Mus musculus: one gene and its partners. The protein of the gene in region 6 purifies or fractionates together with the protein of the main gene of each other region. This does not show direct contact. Links are inferred from orthologs where the notes say so. Each region holds a gene or a part of one and is shown on either strand. Other genes may lie near its edges.

Region 1 (3,500 bases), on a different chromosome or scaffold from region 6:
TTTTTCCTGCAGGTCAAAGGTTGTCCAGGGAGAGGAGGGGGACATGATGTTGTGCACCCCGCCCCAGAATGAGATCCCAGAGCACTGACTCCAGCCTTCTCAAAAACGTCAGCATTTTCATACTGAAAAAGTCTGTGTTTTGTTTCATTGTTGTTGTTTAGACAAGGTCTCCTTAAGTAGACTATGCTGGCCTTGAACTCACAGAGATCTGCCAGCTCCTGCCTTCTGAGTAGCGGGATCAAAGGCATGTGCTACCATGACCAGACAGCCTTCTTGGTTTTAAAACATAAAGCCTTAGTCCGGGTGTGGGAGGCAGAGGACAACTAGCACTACACCTTGTCTCAAACATGCACCCTCCTCCTCTCCAGAGAAGACTAAGGCTATACCTGGATGCCCTCTGTATTTCCCTCAGCTAGGAACAGAAGTCTGAGCATCATAAGAAGCAACGTGAGAGTTCAGATAACAATGTAAAGAAAACAAAGATGCTGGGATACGGCAGCTGGGAGAGGGCTTGCCAAGCACTGGGGTCCACCCTGACACCCACAAACCAGGTGCAACGGTCCACACCTGTGTTTCTAGCACTCCTTACACACACACGAGATCTACAGGTCAGTCTAGAGCATATGAGACCCTGTCTAGATAGATAGATAGATAGATAGATAGACACACACATACACACATAGACAGAAGACAGGCAGACAGACAGAACCAGGGACATGGTGCGGTGGAGGATAAGAACCTGGCAACGTGAACTCAATTCCCTGGGGCCCACATGATAACCAAAATCTAGCTGACGATGGAACACAACTCACTGTGCCCCAGGCTACAGAGAGCACCAAGCTCTTAAAGCCAGGTCCTCCGAATGTCCCTTGAGAGTACTCAGCCCTCTTCTAGAACCAGCTAGTCAAACAGCTCTCCTTGGTAGGGTACAAAGAGAGGGAGTGACATCCCACAGCGCTAGCCTGGGCTACAGTGTGAACTGAGAACAAGAAGAGGTAGACAGATCTGTGGCCGAGCATAACTGGGTGCAGACATAGCCCTTCTGTTCTGCCTGCCCTGGCTCTGCACTGATTTCACAAGCCCAGGATGTGAAGTAAGAGCCCACAGCACAGCATGGGAAAACGGCGTGAAGTTCAGCTGTAAGGCACCTACTTCAACTGTGTGCTAACACTCTGAACTCTGATGTAAAAGAAAAACCACAGGGCGGTCATGTGATTGTGTAGAGCCCTGGGTTCCATTCCCAGCACTGCATAAACCGGGTGCTATGATGCCCGCCTGTCATTCCAGTGCTGGAAGGTAGAGGGCTGGAGGCTGGAAGATCACAAGTTCAAGGGTCTCTTCAGCTACTTACGGAGCTCTAGGCTAGCCTGTGTGAGACTTTCAAACAAAACAAAAAAAAAAAGGATGAAAAAAGAAAAAGGAAAACAGAAAAATGACAAGTCAACTGTGATGGCACAAAGCTTGAATGCTAGCACTTGGGAGATGGAGGCAGAAGGACTAGAAAGTCATCACTGCCTACATAACCAAGCTTGAGGTCAGACTGCGGGTGTGACACTGCCAACATAACCAAGCTTGAGGTCAGACTGCGGGTGTGACACTGCCTACATAACCAAGCTTGAGGTCAGACTGCAGGTGTGACACTGCCTACATAACCAAGCTTGAGGTCAGACTGCGGGTGGTACGAGACCCTGTCAAAAGAAAAAAGGTGGAGGAGAAAGAGGAGGAGGAGAAGGAAGAGGAGAAAAAAGAAAGAGAAGGAGGAAGAAGAGGAGGAAGAAAGGAGGAAAAGGAGGAGAAGAGGAGGAAGAAGAAGGGGGCAGTGGTAGCAGAGGCAGCAGCCACAGTGGCTGAGTGGTCAGGAGAGAGTGCCACTCATGCAGAGAGCCTGAATTCAGTTCCCGGTACCCACATCAGACAGTTCACAGCTACCTGCAACTTCAATTCCAGGGGATTTTTCTTACTTCTATAAGCACCTACATTCACATACCCCTACATAGATAGACACACACACACACACAGAGTTGAAATAAAATTAAAAGCCAAGCAAACGAGATGGCTGTGTCTTGAGACAGCAAAAGCCAGATTCTGAGAAGCCTCCAGAACTCGTCCTACCTTGTCCACATTGGCGCGGGTCTTTGCAGATGTCTCCACGTACTGCACACCCCACTCCTCCGCTTTGCCTCGGGCCTCGTCCACAGGCACCTGCCTCCGCTCCTCCAGGTCGGACTTGTTGCCCACGACCAGCAGTGGGATCTTGTCCTCCTCTGACTTGACTCGGAGAATCTGTTCCCTAGGGACGGTGCGGCAAGAACAGTGTGGTTAAGAAAGCCAAAACTGGCGGGAGAGGCACCAGGACGGCTCAGCGGCTGAGTGCTTGCCTCCAAGGCAGTCTGAGGACCTGGGTTTGATCTACACTGTGAGTGGTGATAACTGGTTCCTGCAGGTTGTCCTCCTTCCTCCACGTGAACTATGGTATGTATGCCGGTGCACGCACAGCGCACAAATAAATAAAGTTGCTTTGTTTTGTTTAAAAGCTGGCATATGAAGTCAGCTTTACAAGTAGCTGCCAGGTGCCTCGGGGTTTACAGAGCATCTAAAGCCCTCGGTAAAGAACAAGAGAAATCATTCCATCGGGAGATTTCAAAATGGGTGTCTACTAGCAGGGGCTTTTCCAGGCTGGCCCTTAGCTTTCGTCCATTATGATCATCTGGTCTCTCCCAGGTACGGATTTCTCTGCCCCATACTCCTACAAAAGAGATGTCTGCATAGGAAGTCAGGAGTCTGCATCTCAACGGAGTCCCCCAATTTATGGGGTCAAAGAGAAAGGGAGAGGGAAGTCAGGAAGAAACCCTCTGTGAATCTCGGGGACATGGCCCAGATGGCAGGGTGCTCCCACTGTATACACAGAGCCCCTCCCCACCCCCCACCCCTGGTTCCTTCTCAGCACTCTACAGGCAGGCATGGTGCTACACGCCTGTAAACCCAGGAGACAGGAAGACCAGAAGTTCATGGTCATCTTAGCTACATAGTAAGTTTAAGGCTTCATGAGACACTACTTAAAACAACAAACAAAACAAAAAAATCCAATCAAACCCAAAGCAACAGCTCACAAAAATGCTTAGTAATTCCAATACAGGCACAAGGGAGAGAAGAAAGCAGTGTGTACAGACATCCTGTTTTATCTCCGGGATGGCCTCAAAATCAGATTATGAAGAGGAAACACAGTTGTGATCACAAAAGTGTTACCCACATAGAAACTTCCTGAATGCTCAAAAAAAATCTGCAGCCGCAAGAGCTCACGCTGAGTTCTCTGCTGTGCGTCTCCTCCATACACACACCGCAGCTGCAGAAAGCAAGCCAGAACCTTCAGCTCTTTAGAGACCTTTAGGAGGCAGGGCCTGGTGGGAAGAAGATAGGTCTCTGGGGTGTGCCCTGGGAAGGGACACTGGGACTCTAGACTCCCTCTTTTGCACCCCAGCTGCCGTGTACCACACAAGCCT
Region 2 (4,202 bases), on a different chromosome or scaffold from region 6:
GTCATAGGCAAAGACTATGATAGCATTTGGAATCTGGCAAAGAAAAGGAACAAATTCTTTCCTAGAGTCTGGAAAAAAATGCAGTTGTGTCGCCATGTTGACTATAGCCCAGTGAGCATTCTAACAGATTACACTTGAGTCATTTTATGCTCTGGCATTTGTTACAGAAATAATGGAAGTTAATATAATATAGGATGTAGTACAAGGTAGATACCACAGTTATTAGCAGCTGCGGCTGGGGACACTGAGATAGAAAAGTATTAAGTTTTGCCTAGTGTCACATGACTGAGTGGGGTTTGGGACAGTTGTCTTCAGAGGACATGTTCTTAATTGTTTCTCAATATCATCTCCCAGGATTTCTTATGGGGAGGAAGAGGAGGAGGAAGAGGGAGAAAAGGAGAAGGAGGAAAAGGAGGAAGAAGAGGGAAAAAGCTGGTAGTAGAGGCCCAGGGAAGAGAGTGAGTCTGACAGCTGGCTCGTGCAAAGCCTGCCTGACTCACAGGGAAGCTCAGAGCTCCTGAACTTAGGGAGAGCAGAAAATTAGTTGTCCCTCTGGCTAGGTTTGAACTCTTTTCTGACTAATCTTCCATCAGTGCTTTGATCATGACAAGCTGGTTTACACGGTGTCCTAGATACAGGTTGTTAAGCAAGCCTCTTTTTCTACATGTGTCCCTTTGCTCAAGCCACCTGCCATTTCCTTCTACCACTTTATTGCTCATTCTTTCCCCCTAGAAGTCTATTCCCACCCCAGCCCAGCTACCACTCCCTGGGAGCGCTTGGATTCAAGAGCTTCAGCATGAAATCCAACATTGCCCTGGGCCTCTTTTCTACGTTGCCAGCAAGCGCCTTAGTCTTGTTCTCATTTTCCCTCATTTTGATAGTTTATGTCCAATATGACTAACCTCGGTGAACTTGCATCCGGCAGGGGACACGATTTTTTCAGAGCAGTCGAGGTATAGAATTTTTGTTTGTTCTTAAAATAAATCTCAACGACACACTCAGTTTTGATTTTCGGGAAAGCATTTGCTTTTCTCTGACTCCCCACTATTTAAAGCCCATCAGGTGCTCAGTAGCTTCTATCACTATTACTGAGGGCGTGTGACCGAGGGTCACCTCCGTTATTGCTAGGGTACCTGCAGTGCACAACAGCACACACTGCACTAAAACATCTCTAGATAACTAAGGGCAGGTCGCGAGGAAAGATGGAGGTGGTGGTTCCCCTCCCCTCCCGGCCACCCCCCCCCCCCGCCCCGATCCCCACCCTCTCCAGGTCATCCTTACCTCCCCAGGGGCGGGCTCCACCCGGGCGGGCCCCACCCACTGCGCCCCACCCCTCCAGGCCCCGCCCCTCCCCGCCCCGCAGCGCCGCGCCGCGCTTGCGCCACCTGCCGCTCGCTCCTGTGGTCCGCGCGCCGCCGCGCCCGGCCGGCGCCTCCGCTTCCAGCCAAGATGGCGGAGAGCTGCGAGGCTCTGGGCACGGTCCCGGAGCACGAGCGGATCTTGCAGGAGATCGAAAGCACCGACACCGCCTGCGTAGGGCCCACCCTCCGGTAAAGTTCTCACATGCCCCGGCTTTCGGGCTGCCCTGACCAGGGACTCCTTAGGAGCCGGGCGGGGCGTCCGCTGCCGGGTGCGCGCGCGTCGGCCCGACAGGTGGTGCGCGCGGGGGCGGGCGCTCGTGGGCTGCGGGACCCGGAGGGCCCGGGCACCTGTCACCGCGCCGCCTGTGGGTGTGGCTGCCAGGGTGTCTCTGACCCGGAGAGCCGCCCCAGCCTAGGGCCTTGATGCCCCAAGGCCCTGACCCCTAGGCGGAGGCTGTCTGCTCTGTGCTGGGGACGAAGGTCACCTGCAGGTGGCCGGCGTGACTGATCCCGGTGCCAAGTTGCGCGCTGATGGAAACCCCAGCGCACTGACTGCTCTGGGCGTGGGAGAATTGAAATTGAGCGGGAGACGCCAGCACCTTTCTCCCACGCTGCAGCACCCTTCTCCCCGGGCGAGACGCGAGCGTGGGCTGACAGCTCGAGTTCACGCAGGGGTGACGATGCTCTTGGGACAGGAAGCTTTTACTTATTGACAAACGTTATGTTGATTTTGTATTAAAATTTCAGCGTATTTTAAATGGATCCAAACCCACTCTCTTTAGGAATAGTACCAGTTAATGAATAGTCCATACCGGACGGAATACTTTCTGCCCCCATAGACTGGTACTGGTACAGAGCTATTAGCCATTAACACTAGGTTAGACACTTCAAGGATTACAATTTCATCTTTTGCAATTAGGATGAATGAACTTGTGGTTCATTAAGGGAATTTGAGACGGATTGTGCTTTGTCAGTAGTCTTTCTTCAGGACACACTTCCTGGAAATGGAATTCTGTTTTCTCACTGTAAATGTAGATAAAATGAAGTCAGTTCAACTTGTAAATTCACTTTGCCCCAGGGAGCCAGATCATGTGGTGTGTTTCTTGTTTCTTTCTCATAAACCTGTCACTGATGACTGAAAAAATCATTTAACCCCCTTGGCCTTGTTTTTGTATTTGTAGAACGGGGTGGGGTTGGGGTGGGGGTGGGGGTGGGAAGTTGTTTAGAACATGAGAGATCTTGCCCATTTATTCTCTACCTCCAAGCACTTAATAGGCAGGTTATGTTTTTTTATTACAGAAAGTTCCTGCTATGATATGCAAAGGCCTCATTAGTATCTTTTAATTTTCTTTTTCTTTCCTTTGTTTTTGTTTGCTAGACAGGGTTTCTCTGTGTAGCCCTGGCTATTCTGGAACTCACTTTGTAGACCAGGCTGTCCTCAAATTCAGAGGTTTACCTGCCTCTGCCTCCCATGTGCTGGGATTAAAGGTGTGCATCACCAATGCCCAGCTCCTTATTGTTAATTTTCTTACATGAATTTTACATATACAGTAGTTTAAAATAGGAGTCAGACTCAAAGAAAACTTTGTGACATCTAGATTCCACTGAAGGACCTCTCCAGTCTCATAGGACAGCCATTCCTTAATGTGTTCATGAAGCAGTTCATTTGCCAGGGGTCAGGAAATGCACTTTTGTCTTTGGTAGCTACCCAGCCAGTGTGGACTAGAAAATGAATCCTCATTGGTATGTTACCCCTGGTTTTCAGGAGGCTGGAAATCAAGTCCCTTTGTTGGACCCTAGGAATGATACACATCAGGACTGGCCATCACCCAGTAGGAGTGGCTTATAATAGAGGTCAGCAGTTTAACGTATTTTGAGACTATTTCACTATATTGCCTTGGCTGTCCTGGAACACACCATGTAGATGAGGCTGGCTTTGAACTCACCAAGATCTACCTGCCTCTGCCACAGCTTGTTGAGATTGCTACCATTCTGGTCAAGTTTTAAATTATATATTGTCTGGGTGAGGTATCCAAACATCCTGACGCCCACTAGAGAATAATCTAGTAGCTGTGCAGGTGCATAGCACATAGGGTATTGGATATCAACCTTACTTTAGATTCTTGGGCTTGTGTAAGATCTAGATTATAGGCAGAGTTGCGATTCTTGCTGTGAATCCTGCCTTACCTCAGCAATGTGGGCGCACCTCACCTAGCGAACTGAGCAGGGTCTAACAATGAAAGAACAGAGAAAAGGGGCCTGTGTGTGTGTGTCTGTGTGTGTGTGTGTGTGTACACGCACTCTCTCTCAAAATTGTTTTTATTTTATTTTATCTTATGTGTATGAGTATTTTTTTCCTGCATGTGTGTCTGCACTGTTCGTGAACCTGGTGCTGAGGATGTCAGATCTCCAGGAGCGGGTGTTACGGACTGGACTCCATGTTGCAAGGCACCACGTGGGTACTGGGAACTGAACCTGGGTCTTCTAGAAGAGCAGCCAGTGCTCTTCACCGCTGAGCTCCCTCTCCAGCCCCTGAGTTCTCTCTTCGTGTGCTGGAACATGGATCTCCTCCTGCCTTTGGAGACTGGGACTTCTGGAACCCTTCTGTGGGACGCTGAGACTTCTGTGGGAGTCCCTGTGGGTCCCTGGATTTCTGATTTCCACAGACTTGTGTTCCTGGTTCTGATTCTCTAGCTTGCACAGAGTCTGTCATGGCAGCTCTTCCCTTCCAGAACAAACAACTTAATTCTACACATTCTTTTAATTTCATTCCGTCTTCTCTCCCTCCTTCCTTCCCCCTCCCTCCCTTCTTCTCCCCTTCCTTTTCTCTCTTCTTTCTTT
Region 3 (3,500 bases), on a different chromosome or scaffold from region 6:
GCAATGCCTTAAATCTTAAATTGTTTTGAAAAGATACTTAAAAAAAAGAAAAAATTCTATTCTACAGCTATAAATGAATAAATAGGTGCAAATTTATCTAACACTATTTTTCTCTCATTTTCAAGGCTTTGGAAGCTGGAAAGAAGCCAGCTCAGGTAACTTTGTCCAGTAAAACTAAGATACCTTCGGCCGTATGCTGCAATGTCACCATTATGCAACGTATTCGGAGATCCAAAATTAGGTCCTGGATAATCTGTAACATGTCATTGGGAATCTCCAGGGCGGTCAGTGATTCATATGTTAGCCTGGCAAACAGATAAAACACAAGTGAGAAAAGGGGGATCCGAGCAGCCCTGCCTTGCCTGGACTGTCCTGTGTGTATGCCTCACGGAGCTCAGGAGTGACAGCATGAGCGCAGCAGGAACAGTACAGGGTCTCTGCAGCAGATGGGTGCACAGACAGTATGACACTCTCATCCAGCACATATACCAGACATGCTGAAGAACTGCTTGGCTAGATAAGTGAGAAATAGGAGCCTCAGGACAGAGAGGCAGAAGATAAATTCCTCAATGACATGTTAAGTAGCATATCTTACTCTGGGGTGTTGACTGTTTTAAAAACCACTACAGCAAACAAATGCATGTAAACCCACTGAGCCCTTTCCATGAGCATGGCTCCCACGTGCCCACACTTGCCTTATGGTCTGGATAACGTGTGCGAGCCACTGCCCCGAAAGCTCTGCCTGCACCTCCCAGCCGCCATACTGCCTCCCATCCCCTTCTCGGAGGCTGAGTGGAAGCAGGGCTCCCCGGATCAGCTTCACCAGGGAGTGCATTACTTCTTGAATCATTTTCTAGAAAATGAAAAGCAAAACTGCATTATGGTCATCAACCTGGTAGAGTTTGTTCTAAATGATAAGACAGTATCTTGACTGTAAAGTCTTCAATAACGCCAGGAGAGAGAGTGCTCTGAGAAGTCAGCATTCTCACCCTTCACTCACCTTGAAATCGTTTTGTCTCTGCCTCACATTCTTTGATCTTTCACTCTGGCCTGACTTCTCAGCCGTCTAAGAAATTGACAAAAAAAAATTAGCTATCTTTTAGAAATAACTTAGAAAAGTTAAGAAATGCTTTAGCATCCATACAGGAAGACATGAGACTTAACCTGATTAAATGAATGTTAAGACATAACCAGAAACAAAACCTTTCTTATTCCAAAACGAGTTAGCCTTCGTCTTTCTAAGCTCTGCTACAAATCGAGGCACACACTCAAGAACCAAGCTGAGACTACAAATTTCGTAGGTGAATTAGGTGTGCCATTTCCCATCAATGCTCAACTTGCAACTGAACCACATGGTGCGTCGTGCCCAGGACGGCACTCTTCCCATCACATCTCACTGTCTGGCAAAGCAACAAAGGGAGAGTAAACGCTGAGCTAATGGAGAGCACACAACATCTGTGCCAAAGGAAATTGGTAAATATTTATCAAAAACACAAGCACTACATCTGTCCCTTTATTTTTATTTATAAATCACTGTTTTCTTCGCAGTGTATCTTAGGAGTGAATACATTCTATCATTTTAGAATTATTTATTTCTATTTACTCATAAAGTCTATGTTTTTCTTTATTTAATGTAATGTACAGGAGACTGTTTTCATAGTTAAGAGGAATCTATTCAACTGGACTTCTGCTAGTTTCTTACTAACAAATGTTCTGACAACCAAATACTACTATATAAAAATGGCCTAAAAGGACAAGCTTATGACCTTTTCAGATAGAGAAGCAAAACAAAATTAAGTACTGTAGAACAAACTCTAATACTTCATTAACATAACACAAAATGTATCTGTTAAGTTTAAAGTTTTCAGGTACTGTTGACTAAGTGTAAAGACATGTCAAAGACCTTTCAAGTTAAGAGACGCATAAATAATTACAATATTCCCGTGAAGTCAATGTGAGAATATAAGTCATGCTTTCTATATGTGCATATATAGCACACATACTAGAGCTATGGAGCTGGGCATCATTGACATGAATGAGTACAAGAAGGGTTAGGCTACTCTGCTGATTAAGAACCAGTACCAAATATATACCTAGCACATACCCTTAACTTACATGACTTAAGATTTCATGTTAAGCTGTGAAGCTTTCATCATTCTTCTTTGTACAAATATACTTTTACTTTGAAACTTAAAAATATAAGTTAAAAGTTTATATCATAATCACTTAAAAAGCTAACTCCTGAGTTCACTGTCTTACATGAGAAGTAGTTTTATATACTATTATATAAGATACCAAAGTGTATTAAGTGTAGTAAGCAGGGAAATGGCACGATTAGCCTGAATGTTGTAAGGATGAAGGCTACGTGCCCAGGTGAGATGACCGCCAACAGCCAGGAAGGTACCACAGCACAGGGTTTCTCTCTCCCACCCAGACAAACCACAGAGCTCTACTGCTCTGCTTTCTGCTTTGTTTGGCTCACAGAGTGATACACAGTAGCCTTCTGAAAGCTACCAATTGTCTGATCTGAGTATGGGAAATATTTTTCTCTTCTATTACCTCCCACTAATTTTGCCTTTAGTTTCAAATACTATCTCCCTTACGGGGATTTGCAGTTCAAAACCTCTGAGACTTATACAGGGATCTTAGATTACCTATTATCTCCTAAGTATTCGTTCACAGGATCCTCTCATGCAGTACACTAAAAACCAGAAACCTGGCAGGTTTCCTTCAAGAAAGAAACTTTGTGGACAGCACCTGCTTAGCCAGAAGCCTGTTTCATTGCTATATCTGAACACTTGTCTTGATTTCTCCCTATGATTCACCAGCAAGACCTGCACACTACCTCTGAATACAAACTACACCCACTACTTTTTCCCCAACCCCACTGCCACCTCTCTCACTCCTATTCTGCCTGCACACACAGACCTATGCTTTCCTCCCAAGATTCTCTCCAAAAGGCAGCTGACCCACAGTGCCTCCAGCCTCAACCCAATCCACTGACACCCAAGCCCGCTAGGACCTGTGCATGCCAGGGCTCTCCTTGGAACCTCCCTTTGGAAACATGTGTGTTGTGTGAACTCCTTTGTCTACTTCTTGTATGCTAAGGCTCAGGTGAGAGATTATGTTCTGAGTCCCTTTTCCTCCCATCCCATCATTGATCACTTTCATTAGAAGCCTAGCTTTGTTCCTTTGATACACACTCACAGAATTAGGATGAGTTTTTAAAAATTGACTTTTATTTGATCACTTCAAGAGGGAAAGATAGTAAAGTTTATCTCAGTCATTGTTTTATTTACATGGTATCTGAGTATTTTAGGATGGATTTATGCATGTACACTATATGTGTGTATATGTATAGCATGTGCATATGTGTGTGTGTATGTGTCAGTACCTGGCACACTGTGGTTAGGATACTGTTCTGAACATGCTTTCAAAAGCAGCTCTACCTTCAATCTGTGCTGATCTAAATGCCTGCCAAAATCACCTAGATATCAAGT
Region 4 (4,186 bases), on a different chromosome or scaffold from region 6:
TCGCATTTGCAGCCATCCTCCTGCCTCTGCCTCTCAAGTATCAAGAGTGCAGGTCTTGCCTGCCATCACGCCTGGCTGAGATGGTTGATTTTATACAATTTATGTGTTTGTTTTGCTTTACAGCTTTGAGACAGGTTTTGCTATGTAGCTCTGGCCATCCTGGAACTCACTATGTAGGCCAATCTGGACTTGCTGCAATCCTCCTGCCTCACCTCCTAAGTCCTAGAATTACAGGCGTGAGTCCCCATGCCTAGCTAGGTACAGGACGTATTTTTTACCATAGTGAAGAAACCTCCAATCCATATATAGAAATCAAATGCTAAACTTACACTTGAAATAGTATGATGGAAAATTATATCACTCAGTCCCCAGGCACAGGACCTAACACGTACATTGTGACTGCTATGTATCTTCCTCTTTTATCCGTTTGCTTAACATTTGAGACATGGTGTCACTACATAACCCAGGCTAGTCTGGAATACCACATATCCCAGGCTGGCTTCAAACTCACAAGTTCTAGGCCTGGGCCACCACACCTGGCTTCTACAGACTTCCTTAAACTGTCACATGTCCCTCATGAGACCGAGACAGGGACTGATGTCCATCTGTCCGTCGTCTCACGCTAACCTATACGTTTCTTACCACTTTGTTGAGTTCTGGGCTGTCTGGGCTATTGTCCTGAAAATACTCCACAGCCTTCTGGATTTTGGCCATACTTCCCAGGTACTCTTCCAGCCTACCTGTGGGGCTGGGAAAGAGAAAAGCTGGCTTAGCCTTGGAGGGCAGGGATAACATAGACAGACTATGGCCACGGTCTGCGGGAGAAGAAGAGAACGCAGATAAGGGGCTCCACGCTCACATGGGTTTTACTTGGCTCCATGGGTCCAGGAGACATTAGTTATGTGAGCAGAGCTCTGCATGGAACTCACCCCTCTCGGATGATCTTCTCCGTGTCGCTGGCTACGTGGTAGTAGCTGATAACGTGGTCCAGGCAGGATAACGTCTTCTCCACGTTCTCCTGCAGCCTCTGTAGGTTCTCTGTCTGCTTGTGCACAGGGATGATAGAGTTCTCCAGCTTCATGAGTCGGCTCTCAAAGGACGACAGGATGGACACCTGTGGGGGGGAACTCCTCTGGCTCATGGCTCCCAGGGCTGTCCTGGAAATACTCACAGACATTTCTTGTCTTTTCTTGGTTTTCTAGACGATACACTGCTACCCATAGGAAGGAACATAGTCGACTTGTTTGCTACAACTGCACTCCTAGTCTGGTACACGGCTCACCATAAACTGGTTGAAAGTTCATCTGACGGCAAGAGGAACATTAAGCGAATTCTTCCTTCAAGGAGCTGGAGAGATGACTCTGCTCTTGCAGAGGACTGGTACTGAGTTCTCAGCACGCACATCTGCCAGCTTACAACTGACTGCCTGTAACTCCAATTCCACAGGATATGACAGCCTCTTCTGACCTCTGCAGGCACTGCTCATTTGTGGGACACATACACACATGCAAACACTCATGCACATAAAATAAATTTGCTTATTTGCAAAAAGAGATAATCAGGCTGGAGAGCCAGCTCAGCAGTTAAGAACACTGGCTGCTCTTCGGAAGTCCTGAGTTCAATTCCCAGCACCACATAGCGGCTCAACCACAACCATCTATAATGAGATCTAGTGCCCTCTTCTGGCATATGGCCATACATACAACCAGAACACTATACATAATAAATTTTTTTTTTCAATCACCTCAGGATAGATTCCTTTCTACCCTTGAAAGTCAAATCTCAATTTCTGTTCTCTCTGAAGTTTTCCTAGACTGAACAGAAAGTAGCTTCCTCCAAAATAGTTGCAAATATATTACTGTTACCTCAAACAAACAGCCAACCTCTTTCCCTAAGGGCAAATCTCATTCAACAAGTATTTTATTACTGTGTAAATACAAATGCAAGCACTTTTAAAGCATCTTACTGTATACCAGACACTGGGAAGCATGCATAGACTTCCTCCACGGACACACTGGGAGGCTGACATTGTCTGCTTTACCAGGTAAATTAACCATAACTCAAGGCCTACCACCAGGAACCACATAGTAAGCTGTAGGACATTGGGTAGATCTAAGACGCATTAACTCTCTGAGATGGTTTTGCTTCCAAAGCCCCTGTGACTTCGCTGCCTCGCCTCGCTTGAATTTGACAATGACACGGGGCCAGTACCAGGCCATGTACAGGATATCACGAAATGTTTGCAGAAGGACAGACAGTAACAGGTATAGGGCAGCGGTTTCCTCGGTGATGGGGTGGAAACTGGGGTGCAGAGATACCCATCGCTGCAAGATATGCCCACTGTTTACTACCCACGCTGGAGTCCCTGGACAGGCGCAGGACACGTCCATCACACGCCCCTCCTCTGGGGCTCAGGAGCCTGGCGGCAGCCTCCCAGCTGAAAGGCTACTCACCATGTTCCTAGTGAGCTGGTCGCTCTTCTCCAGGCTGTCTCGGATAAACGACAGCGTCTCCTCCTCCTGCGAGGGGCAGAGAGGAGGACATCACCACAAGCCGATGGTGAAAGGCGACCACCAGCACCCAGCACCCAGCACCACGGCCTACGCCTAACCCTATCTCCCCTTCCACCCCGGTTCGATGCCCCTGAGCGCCTTTCCTTCACTTTCTCCCCAGCGTCACCTGCTTCAGTTTGTCCTCGATCTCCCGCCGCCGGGCGGAAGCCTCCTGCGGGGGAATCATAGCAGCGGACAGCGCTGTCCCCACTCCCCGCTGTTTTAGCTCCAAACCCTGCTCGGCTTCCGTCCCTGTCACGCCCACTTCCTCCCTCGGCCCCGCCCCCGGACGCTTTCGGGGGCGCCATGTTGGGAGTGGCAGGCGGAAGTGTGTTCCTGCCGGAGCTCGCGAGCGGGCTGCGGGTCGACGCCATCTTGAATGTGGCTGGAAGAGCCGCTCACCTGAGGCATACGTGGGTCTTTCCTCGTAGCCAGAGGCTGGTTTGCTCGCTCCTTTGAAAGACAGCCCCTTGCTGGGAGACTGAAGCAGGAGGCCATTCACGAGTTCGAAGCCAGTTTGGATCACATAGTAAATTCCAGGCTAGCCTAGGCTACAGAGTCAGACTTGGTCTCCAAACCAAAAATCAAGCAAACCAACATTATACCTGAATTTTTTTTAGATCGTTTTGGCTGCTCTGGAATAGGTTATGTAGACCAGGCTGACTTCTGCCTACCGTGGGCTGGATTAAAGAAAGGTGTGCTCTGCCAAACCCAGCTCACCCAAGAAAAAGCAGGGCGGTGGCGGAAGGCAGGAGGTGGAGGCTGGCACGGAGTGGTATATAGGGTTTACAGTTCTCTCCCTCCCATGTGTAGGACCCAGAGGGATTGAATTCGGGTGCCAGGTTTTGTGGCAAATGCCTTAACCTGCTGAGCTATTTCACCAGCTCATGATTTATTTGTGGATTTTAACATGGTGTATAGATAGATGTTTCGCCCATGGGTATGTATGTCTGTGCCGTCACTTGCATGCCAGGTGCCCTGGAAGACCAGAAGGTTATCTGATCCCTCTGGAGCTGACATTACAGTAGTGAGCTGTCTGTCATGTGGGTTCTGGGAACCCTAACCCTAACTCAGGCTTCCTGGAAGAGTAAGAAAGAGCTCTTAACTGCTGAGCCATCTTTCCAGTTAGCTAAACCCTAATTTAGGATAAAAGCGCTGACTGAGGAGACAAATTTGTTTTTGCAGATCATATCTTAACGGTTCAAGTCTGGAGACTGGATTCCACACAGAGTGGCTTACAATGGATACTTCAGAACTTGTGGGATCCCACGTGGGTTTAATAACAGAGACACAGAGACATCTGTATAGTATAAGGCTGTTTGCCTGTTTGCTGGGGCAGTCCCTCAGCTAACCCTCCAGACTCAACGCGACTTCCCTGCTACGAGTCCCTGGCGTTCTCTCTGCTCAACCTCCCTGTCCTGCTCAGTTCTGCTTCTGTCTCTCTCTCCTCCTGCCCCGACTCCAACAGTCAACTCTAGTCCTCAAAGGCCACACGCCTTACTCATCCAATCTGAGCCAATCAGCAACGGACAACGCCTAGTCTGAGCCAATCAGCAGCAGGACAACACCTAGTCTGAGCCAATCAGCAGCAGGACAACGCCCGGTCCATATTTCTGTGTTGTCTTTTGGCTTTG
Region 5 (3,500 bases), on a different chromosome or scaffold from region 6:
CACTTCATTTTTGGTCTCCTGATTAGTTTCAGGGCTATGGATGCAAAGCAGTACAATGGCCAGGTACAATGGTGGGCAAAGTGCTGAGGAAAGCAGGTTCTCTAGGGATGGCCAGCCTCTCTCAGTTAACAAAGCCAACTTTGTGTGAGAGACAGCCTGAGCTCTCAATGGTCCTATACAATCTCAGATCTATGTTATGGTCCTGCTAAAGCTCTACAGGTGACACTCATGGAGTAGAAATAATAAAGATAGATAGCTATGTCAGGTGGATGGCCCTCTCAGGATGGAGGGTAAAAGAAAGTAAGACCAGACTGATATTACTGCAGTCTCTAGGTTCAGCCAAGGCACCAGTGACAGAGCCTTTGACTATGCTGTTCTCTGTAGAGGGCCTGTAATCCATCGCTGATGACTTACTCTGGTCTAGCCTCTATATACCCTAATCTGCATGAGTGAAGTGAGTTGGCTGACACCCTTGTTCTTAGAACTGAACTGGCTCCTTGACTTCCCTGTTCTTAGGGCTACAGGGAGAAAGGCCAGAGGTCTAATTTACTTCCGGGCATACTTTCCAAAGGTCTTTGGCCAATCCTGGGCCATTTCTTCTCCTTTGTGGGCAGATTTTTGAAGAGGGGTATAGTTGGAGACTATGAATCAAAAGACAGGGATCCCACAAATGCAATTTACATCTTGCATGCTATACACTAGGCCCAGTGTGAGTTCATCTATGTTTATATATCCACTGGGATACATATAGTTGATATGGGCATCTGAGTGGCAAGGAAACACAGCTGTCTCACTCTCTGACAGTGACAGCCAAAGCTAACTGTGACTTTTCTCCCTAGTCTAAACTCAAGAGTAATTCTTTCAGGTTGGAGTTTTCCATCCAGAACTGAATTCCTGCCCATACTTGGAAGCCTGCTCTAGGCTAGGAAGGAGGGCAGATGACCTGACTGGGTTGGAAAGAGAGCACAATGGTCCTTACGGCCCTGGTGAGTACAGCCTGCTATTTTAAACACTAGTTGCACAATTATGTTTGTGAAACTGGCAGGGTTTTAGATTATTCTGAAGGAATCCTCTTCCTTTTGCTGGATAAGCTATAAATCCAAACAACTTAAAAACCAACAGGAAAGAGGAAACAGAGAAGCCCTTTCTACATTTGCAGGACATTTGGTTTGATTGATGTTATAATTTCCTGCAGCAGCACTGAAATGAGTGTCCAGACATGGCCTGTAGCTCCAGGGGAGGATCCTATACTCTACAGGAGAAAGAGACAAACCAAGAGGCAAATAGTTCTTGGCCACCGAAGCCTTTGGTTGGAATCATGCTCTCAGGTGCTATGAAGGCTGACAGTGGCATGATGGTTTGTATCCAGGAATGGTCAAAACTTAAAGTGACTCCTCCCCTTTCCTATCTCTTGAAAGTCTAGCATTCTCTCCTCCTTTAGGCAGTCCACCTTTCAGTGACATAGGGACTTTGCCTTTTCCTAGATAGTACTGGCAGTGCTATGGGTTCTTCTGTCTTGCCTTACTATGAAGATTCAGATTTAGAAAGAGAAACTAGCAGGCATGGGGAGCAGCTGCCTCTGGGGAAGCAGAACCAGGTCAGGAGAGACGGAGCTCATGTGAGGCTGGAAGATGGAGATTTCAGTGACCTGGGGAGCCTTTGCCTTCCAATTTTGGAGCTAAAGAGTTCAAGTCCACTGATGGCTAGGACTTAGCACACAGCTTTGTTGCCTGCTAGGTGAGAATGTCGAGACATCACCTAAGGAAGAGTACAGGATCCCAAGAGACATGACTGAGCATCAGGCCAAACACTGGACTGTCTCCCCATTTCTACTGAGTCATGAGAACTCTGGACATGGTTTGTCTCTGATGAGGACTCCTCATGGGATATGTAGGTTCTAGACCCTGAAGTCATAAGCCTTGTCCCCAGGAACTGGGATTTACTTAGCAGCTCTTCTGGCAGGGCTGAACTGCAGACTCTATGCCAATAAGAGTACCAAGCACGCCAGAAAGCTGAATGGAAGAGATCCTTTCTCCAGTGCTGATGGAAAAGCCCCTGCCATTACTCCCACCCTGAAATGAATTGGTAAACCAAAGCTCTGTAACGAACAAAGAAAGAAAGGGGAAGTGCTTACTGGGTGGTACCAGGCTAGTTTAGGAGGTTAGTTTGTCAGGGTAGAGACCACTCACAGGATCAGGATTTTAGTTTAGTTATTGTCATCACTGATGGGAAATGGGAAGGACTTGCCTCAAACTGATGAAAAATTCCTAAGTGAACAATATACTTACTCTCTAGATAGCCTAGAAAAGAAAATCGTTGGGAGAGAGAACCATGGGAGAAAGTTAACATGAAAACATCAATTCTCAGCATATCGCTTGGCTTCACACACAGTGCCCAACGTCCTACTCTTGCCTACTCTTTGCTTCCCCTCACATTTGGTACACTCTCCAATCCCCCACCCCTAGTAAGAAAGATATTACACCTTCATTCCTTTTTTTCCCCCTCCCTAATGATCTATTCTGACCTTCTGTACTCTAGCCTTTGTCTTTCTAGGGTTGGAGCATGCCTGGCTGCCCATACACATGAGCTTTCTTCACCACCTTGATAAAGGTATCTTTTGACTAGTCAGTCTAATTTGCTTTAAAAACCTCTTAACATGGGTCTTAGTTTCTGGCTTGGTATTTCTCAACTAGAGCCAGGTTGCAGTATATACTGACACCTGGGTGACATGTTGGCTAGCTTTAAGATGTGTGGTGCTGCATAATCTAGTTCAATTAAACCACATTTCTGAGGCATGTGTTCGACATATCATTAAACCCCAAAGGCTGGGACACACTCCTCTGCTTATCATGTTGTCCGGAGCCCAAACTAAGTCATCTTACATCTTGTCTTCCTTAGGTAAAGACACTTTGTCTATTTAGGCTACAAAGCAATAAAGAATTCCATTATGATCTGTATATATAGTTTGCTAGAGCTAAGTAAGAATTATGACTGACTGCCAAGTACAATGGTCAAGATGGCTGACAGCACTGGAAACAGTTAAATGGTCTTGTATAATACCCCTTACTCCACTGCCCACCTCCGACACAGAGTACAGGATTGGATACTCACTTCTCAAGCAGGGTCAGAGCTGTCACAGGGTTCACCCGGAGATACTTGCAGTTGGGCTGTCCATAGTCGGCAAGGTATGTGGACCAATCCCACTGAATAAAGAGGTCCAATAGCTGAAAAATACCCCAATCCCCATACCAAGGGTTAAACAAACAGACAAGGGAAATCAGGATCTCAGTAATTTCATTATTCTTTACTACCAGCTAACTCCTAAAATACTGAAATGGACATGTAACAAAGGTAAGAATAGCTGAAGGCCACACTACAACGAAGTACATGTCAATGATAGAGTAATTTCCACCATAAGCACAAGTCCACTGCTGAGATTCCACACTAGCAGTGAGCCTCAAGGGCCAGCCTGTGGAGACACTATTCTGGACTGATCTCAA
Region 6 (4,008 bases):
GCCTGCAAAGTTTTATAAAGGCTTCCTTCCACATGCTACAAATACTGACAGACCTGAGGCCCACATATTGAAATTTATCCCAAACCAGTTTTCCCAACTCATTTCTTTTCATGTTGATCTGTCTCAGTACAGGACACAGGTGTGTCACACAGCACTGACCATTACGAAGCCATTTTGTTGACTTGGAATGTTTTACAACATACTTAAACCCTGTGGACCTAATATTTTTCTAGGCAGCATGGAAGTGCACTGCTCCTAGATGTGCTAACGTGAGAAGTGTCTTTCAAGTTAAAGAGTAGCCTGAAATGTTCTGGTGTGACCATACACTCTACTTAAAGAATTATTAAAAAACAGAGCAAGACATGGTATGTGCTCTTGACAGTCCCAGTATTGGGGGGTTGTATGTGATGCTTAACACATTATCTTTCTCCTTTTGACTGCATTTTTCAGAGGGCACTTTTATATGCTGTCTGTGTCTCTGAGGAATGTGCTGACATTGTGTAATGTAAATACAAATGACGCATCTGTAGCACGTGTACACGTACACACACAAAGACACAGAGCAGAGCCTCAGACCACAGAAGTCGTGCTCTCGGGATTCACCCGCAGGAGCCGGGATGCGTTCCGGAGGTCCTGCAGCTGCTTGGCGGGCTTCCCCACACCTTCCTCAAACCTCCTCTCCACCACCGGGAGGACAGTTTCATAGAGAAAGGATGCGTTCTGCCTGATGAAGGCCTTCTTCTCGGGGTCCTGCTCACAGCGCAGGCTGTAGTCCACATGCTGCACAGCCACCAGGATGATTTCTACCAGGCTCTCCAGGAGCACCATGTGGAGCTCAGGGAAGTACAGTTTCAATGCCTCCTCCAGGAAGCCCATAGTCTGCTTGGTGAAGGCTACCACCGTGTAGCTCAAGTTCACCCAGCAGTCATCTCCCGTGTACTGCTCAAAGTTACTGACCCCGCAACTTTTCATCTCCTCCTTGAGCTTGCCCAGGGCCTCAGGAGTCATCAGGTTCATGCGGCGCCACATCTCCTCCGAGTTTCGGTGCTTGGTGGCTTCAATGATAATCTCCTTGTAACTGTGCAGGGCGCCCTGGATGTCCTTCACCAGCAGGGCGTGGATGATGAAGGTGAGGTCCAGCCCAATCTCTCCCAGCTGCTGGCAGTGCTCCTTGGCCACCTTCACACACTCAGCAGCGGTGGACAGGCTCTCCTTGCTGTCAAAAACCTGCTTGCTGAAAGCATCCACGAACATGCCCATGGCCGACCTTGCCCAGACCACAAAGGCAGAGTAGCAGCCACTGTCAGTGCCTGCAAAGTCCGTCTCAAACTCTCTCGCGGTCTCTAGGAGGCTGGTAAAGAAGACGTGGCACAGCTTGTGAATGTAGAGCAGCGTGGCGCCCTCAATCCTGAGCTGGCGGATGGCAGTGTGCACGGCTGCGGCCCTGTTCCTCAGAAACAGCTCGCAAGCCTTCGTGCACTGGCCCAGCCGGATCAGCTGAGACACGGCTCTCCGAGTAGCCTTGGGGCCGCCTCTCAGAGAGCGATCCGGGGAGAGCTCAAACACAAGCACCTCGGTGAGCTGTCGCACTCGTTCGTCCACTTTGGCCCTCAGCTCTTTCACAGGAGGTGGGCTGGGCTTATCTTCCAGGTAGTGATTTAATTTGTCCAGCAAGTCCACGGCACCCTCAAAGTCCCTCTGTGCAATACAAACATCCAAGTCTTCCGGCAGCTCTTGGATCCACTCCATGGAAAGGTCAACCTTTTCCTCCTCCGCCTCAGGGGTGGCCAGTTCTTCATCATCCTCGTCCTCAAACGGGTTGCTGCCCTTGGAAGTGACCGGTGGTGGCGCACGCGGGGCTGCTGCCTCCTCCTGCTCCCGCCTCCTCTTGTCGCTGAGGGCCCTCTTGGTTTCCTCCAGCACTTCCAGCCACTCGCGCTTGATCTTGGCATTTTCCGCCTGGAAGATTCGGCTCTCGGGGAACATGAGAAGCTTGAACATGTCTTTCATGGGCGGATTGTCTTTGACGTTGACCACCGCCAGGCGGTCCAGCGGGTAGAGTGCGTTGTAGCGGTACATGCCTCGCCGTTGTGGCAGCCAGGTGGCCACCAGCAGACAGTCGTTCATGAGGAAGCCGTGCACGCGCTGCAGCTGGGCCATGTGGTCCGCATCGTATTCCACCAGGTCCCCGTTGTACACCAGGTACTGACCTGGCGTCTCCAACAGGTCCCTGCAGCCCTCCACCTTCTCCAGCAGCGTGGTGAGCGTTCGCTGCTTGCCCTCCTCGCCCGTCCCGGAACCCTCTCGAGGGACGCCCGCCGGCCCGGGCAGGAAGCCCGCCTGGACCGCCCCGCGCTCCCGCGGCCCCGCGCCGGCCGTGTCCTCACCCGCAGAGGCGCCCGCGGCGGCGGCGGGCAGCAGTGCCAGCGGGATGCTCTCCAGGCTGCTCTTCTGCTCAGTCAGCAGGTGGCTCAGCTGGTACATTTCGCTCTCCAGGTAGGAGATCTCCCGCGCCGTCTCGATGAACTGCCGGTAGTTCTGGTAGACGTTGCGCTTCAGGTTCTGTGCCGTCTCCTCTGCCAGCGCCTGCACCCGCTGCCGGTGCTCCTGCAGGTCGCGGTCGCCGTCCGACTGCTGCGACAGTTGCTTCACGTACAGCCGCGCCTCGAAGCCCCCCGACTCCAGCTGCCTCCGCAGGCGGCTCGCCCCGCTGTCCGACATGGCTGCCACTCGTCTTGCTCCCGCGGCCCGCAGTGGCTGTTACTCGCCGCCTCCGGGCCCCACCCGAGCCCGGTGGAGAAGGCAGCGGAGGAAGCGGGGCGGGAGCAACACCCAAACGCCTGCGCCGGAGCCGAGCGCTGCATTGCGCCTGTGCCAGAGTCGAGCCGCTCGCACTGCGCCTGCGCCCGGGGCGGAGTGCGGACAATGCGCCTGCGCGGAAACGGCAGCGTCTTAAGGCGCGTGCGCGGACGAGCCAGCACGGAAGTCAGAGGAGGGTCCGGCACGGACCAGACTTGACGTGTGTCGCCGGACCTCAGCGGCTGTCAGGAGACAACCGGCTGCCTAAAGCCGTCCCCAGCCCGAGCCCAGCGTTCCTAAGCCTGTGCCCGCGGGGCAGCGCCGAGCCACCTTCGGTTAGGCGTTCGAGGCTAGCCCGCGCGCCCTGACAGCAGGGCCGGGAGGCCTCGCGAGATCCGTGCGCCGCACGAGCCCGACCGGCGTCTTGGGAGCGGCCGAGGTGGGAGTAGCGGGATGGACGAGGATCTGGTGGTCGCGTTGCGGCTGCAGGAGGAGTGGGACGTGCAGATGGCGCGGCGCGCGGCGGCGGCGCGGGAGCCCGTGTCGTTGGTGGACGCGTCCTGGGAGCTGGTGGACCCCACCCCAGACCTGCAGGCGCTCTTCCTGCAGTTTAACGATCGCTTCTTCTGGGGTCAGCTGGAGGCGGTGGAGGTGAAGTGGAGTGTGCGCATGACCCTGTGAGTGCGTCCGCGAACGGCTCGGAACGTCGGGAAGGGCCAGGCCGCTAAATTGTCGTTGGTGTCCCCGCCTCGCGGCGCAGGGAGAGGTCGCCGGGAAACGTGCCCACTCCCCAGTCCCGGGCCCAACGTCCCTCAGTGATGAACCAGCCGGATCCCTTATCAGAGTTTGAGAAATCCTATTCGAGATAGTAATCTGCCCCGCACATACACTGTCACATAGCAGCTTGAGGTAAAGCAGGCTAAGACGTAGTGTACTTCTAACCTCATACCAGCCCTGTGACTGTTTTGGGAGAAGTGCCCATGTATGCCTGTGCGGAGGGGAGAGGGTGACAGTGGGTGAGGGTTAGCAAGTGTTAACTCTCTGAAGCCAAGTGACCCACTCAGGAAAGCCATCCTCCCATCAGGGACGTTTTCTTGTGAAACAGTTCTTGCCCAAGAACTGTTAGGGATTTGCTGCCCACCCCCACCCCCTTTTTTGTGGGGAGAGGGGAGAGGGCCTCACTATGTATCTGTGGCTGTCCTGGAACAT

Evidence for each region.
Region 1: the proteins of Exoc8 (region 6) and Ralb purify together in Homo sapiens (affinity purification with western blotting; 6 studies listed by BioGRID and IntAct, counting the BioPlex papers as one, with this or other methods). This does not show direct contact. The link is inferred for Mus musculus from reciprocal best matches to the Homo sapiens genes EXOC8 and RALB.
Region 2: the proteins of Exoc8 (region 6) and Exoc6 purify together in Homo sapiens (affinity purification with mass spectrometry; 4 studies listed by BioGRID and IntAct, counting the BioPlex papers as one, with this or other methods). This does not show direct contact. The link is inferred for Mus musculus from reciprocal best matches to the Homo sapiens genes EXOC8 and EXOC6.
Region 3: the proteins of Exoc8 (region 6) and Exoc2 purify together in Homo sapiens (affinity purification with mass spectrometry; 7 studies listed by BioGRID and IntAct, counting the BioPlex papers as one, with this or other methods). This does not show direct contact. The link is inferred for Mus musculus from reciprocal best matches to the Homo sapiens genes EXOC8 and EXOC2.
Region 4: the proteins of Exoc8 (region 6) and Exoc7 purify together in Homo sapiens (affinity purification with mass spectrometry; 4 studies listed by BioGRID and IntAct, counting the BioPlex papers as one, with this or other methods). This does not show direct contact. The link is inferred for Mus musculus from reciprocal best matches to the Homo sapiens genes EXOC8 and EXOC7.
Region 5: the proteins of Exoc8 (region 6) and Exoc6b purify together in Homo sapiens (affinity purification with mass spectrometry; 3 studies listed by BioGRID and IntAct, counting the BioPlex papers as one, with this or other methods). This does not show direct contact. The link is inferred for Mus musculus from reciprocal best matches to the Homo sapiens genes EXOC8 and EXOC6B.

What each region holds. Positions count from the first base shown.
Region 1 is NC_000067.6:119,473,783-119,477,282, forward strand, and holds part of Ralb (ras-related protein Ral-B), read right to left. Parts: intron 2,291-3,500; coding exon 2,113-2,290; intron 1-2,112. UniProt on the Homo sapiens protein: Multifunctional GTPase involved in a variety of cellular processes including gene expression, cell migration, cell proliferation, oncogenic transformation and membrane trafficking.
Region 2 is NC_000085.6:37,549,016-37,553,217, forward strand, and holds the start of Exoc6 (exocyst complex component 6), read left to right. Parts: upstream 1-1,402; 5' UTR 1,403-1,449; coding exon 1,450-1,550; intron 1,551-4,202. UniProt on the Homo sapiens protein: Component of the exocyst complex involved in the docking of exocytic vesicles with fusion sites on the plasma membrane.
Region 3 is NC_000079.6:30,876,548-30,880,047, forward strand, and holds part of Exoc2 (exocyst complex component 2), read right to left. Parts: intron 1,067-3,500; coding exon 1,001-1,066; intron 854-1,000; coding exon 696-853; intron 306-695; coding exon 184-305; intron 1-183. UniProt on the Homo sapiens protein: Component of the exocyst complex involved in the docking of exocytic vesicles with fusion sites on the plasma membrane.
Region 4 is NC_000077.6:116,303,935-116,308,120, forward strand, and holds the start of Exoc7 (exocyst complex component 7), read right to left. Parts: upstream 2,801-4,186; 5' UTR 2,740-2,800; coding exon 2,680-2,739; intron 2,520-2,679; coding exon 2,454-2,519; intron 1,115-2,453; coding exon 930-1,114; intron 749-929; coding exon 643-748; intron 1-642. UniProt on the Homo sapiens protein: Component of the exocyst complex involved in the docking of exocytic vesicles with fusion sites on the plasma membrane.
Region 5 is NC_000072.6:84,622,014-84,625,513, forward strand, and holds part of Exoc6b (exocyst complex component 6B), read right to left. Parts: intron 3,225-3,500; coding exon 3,112-3,224; intron 1-3,111. UniProt on the Homo sapiens protein: Component of the exocyst complex involved in the docking of exocytic vesicles with fusion sites on the plasma membrane.
Region 6 is NC_000074.6:124,894,906-124,898,913, forward strand, and holds the start of Exoc8 (exocyst complex component 8), read right to left. Parts: upstream 2,801-4,008; 5' UTR 2,722-2,800; coding exon 571-2,721; 3' UTR 1-570. Other genes in the region: Sprtn (sprT-like domain-containing protein Spartan), read left to right, coding at 3,253-3,476. UniProt on the Homo sapiens protein: Component of the exocyst complex involved in the docking of exocytic vesicles with fusion sites on the plasma membrane.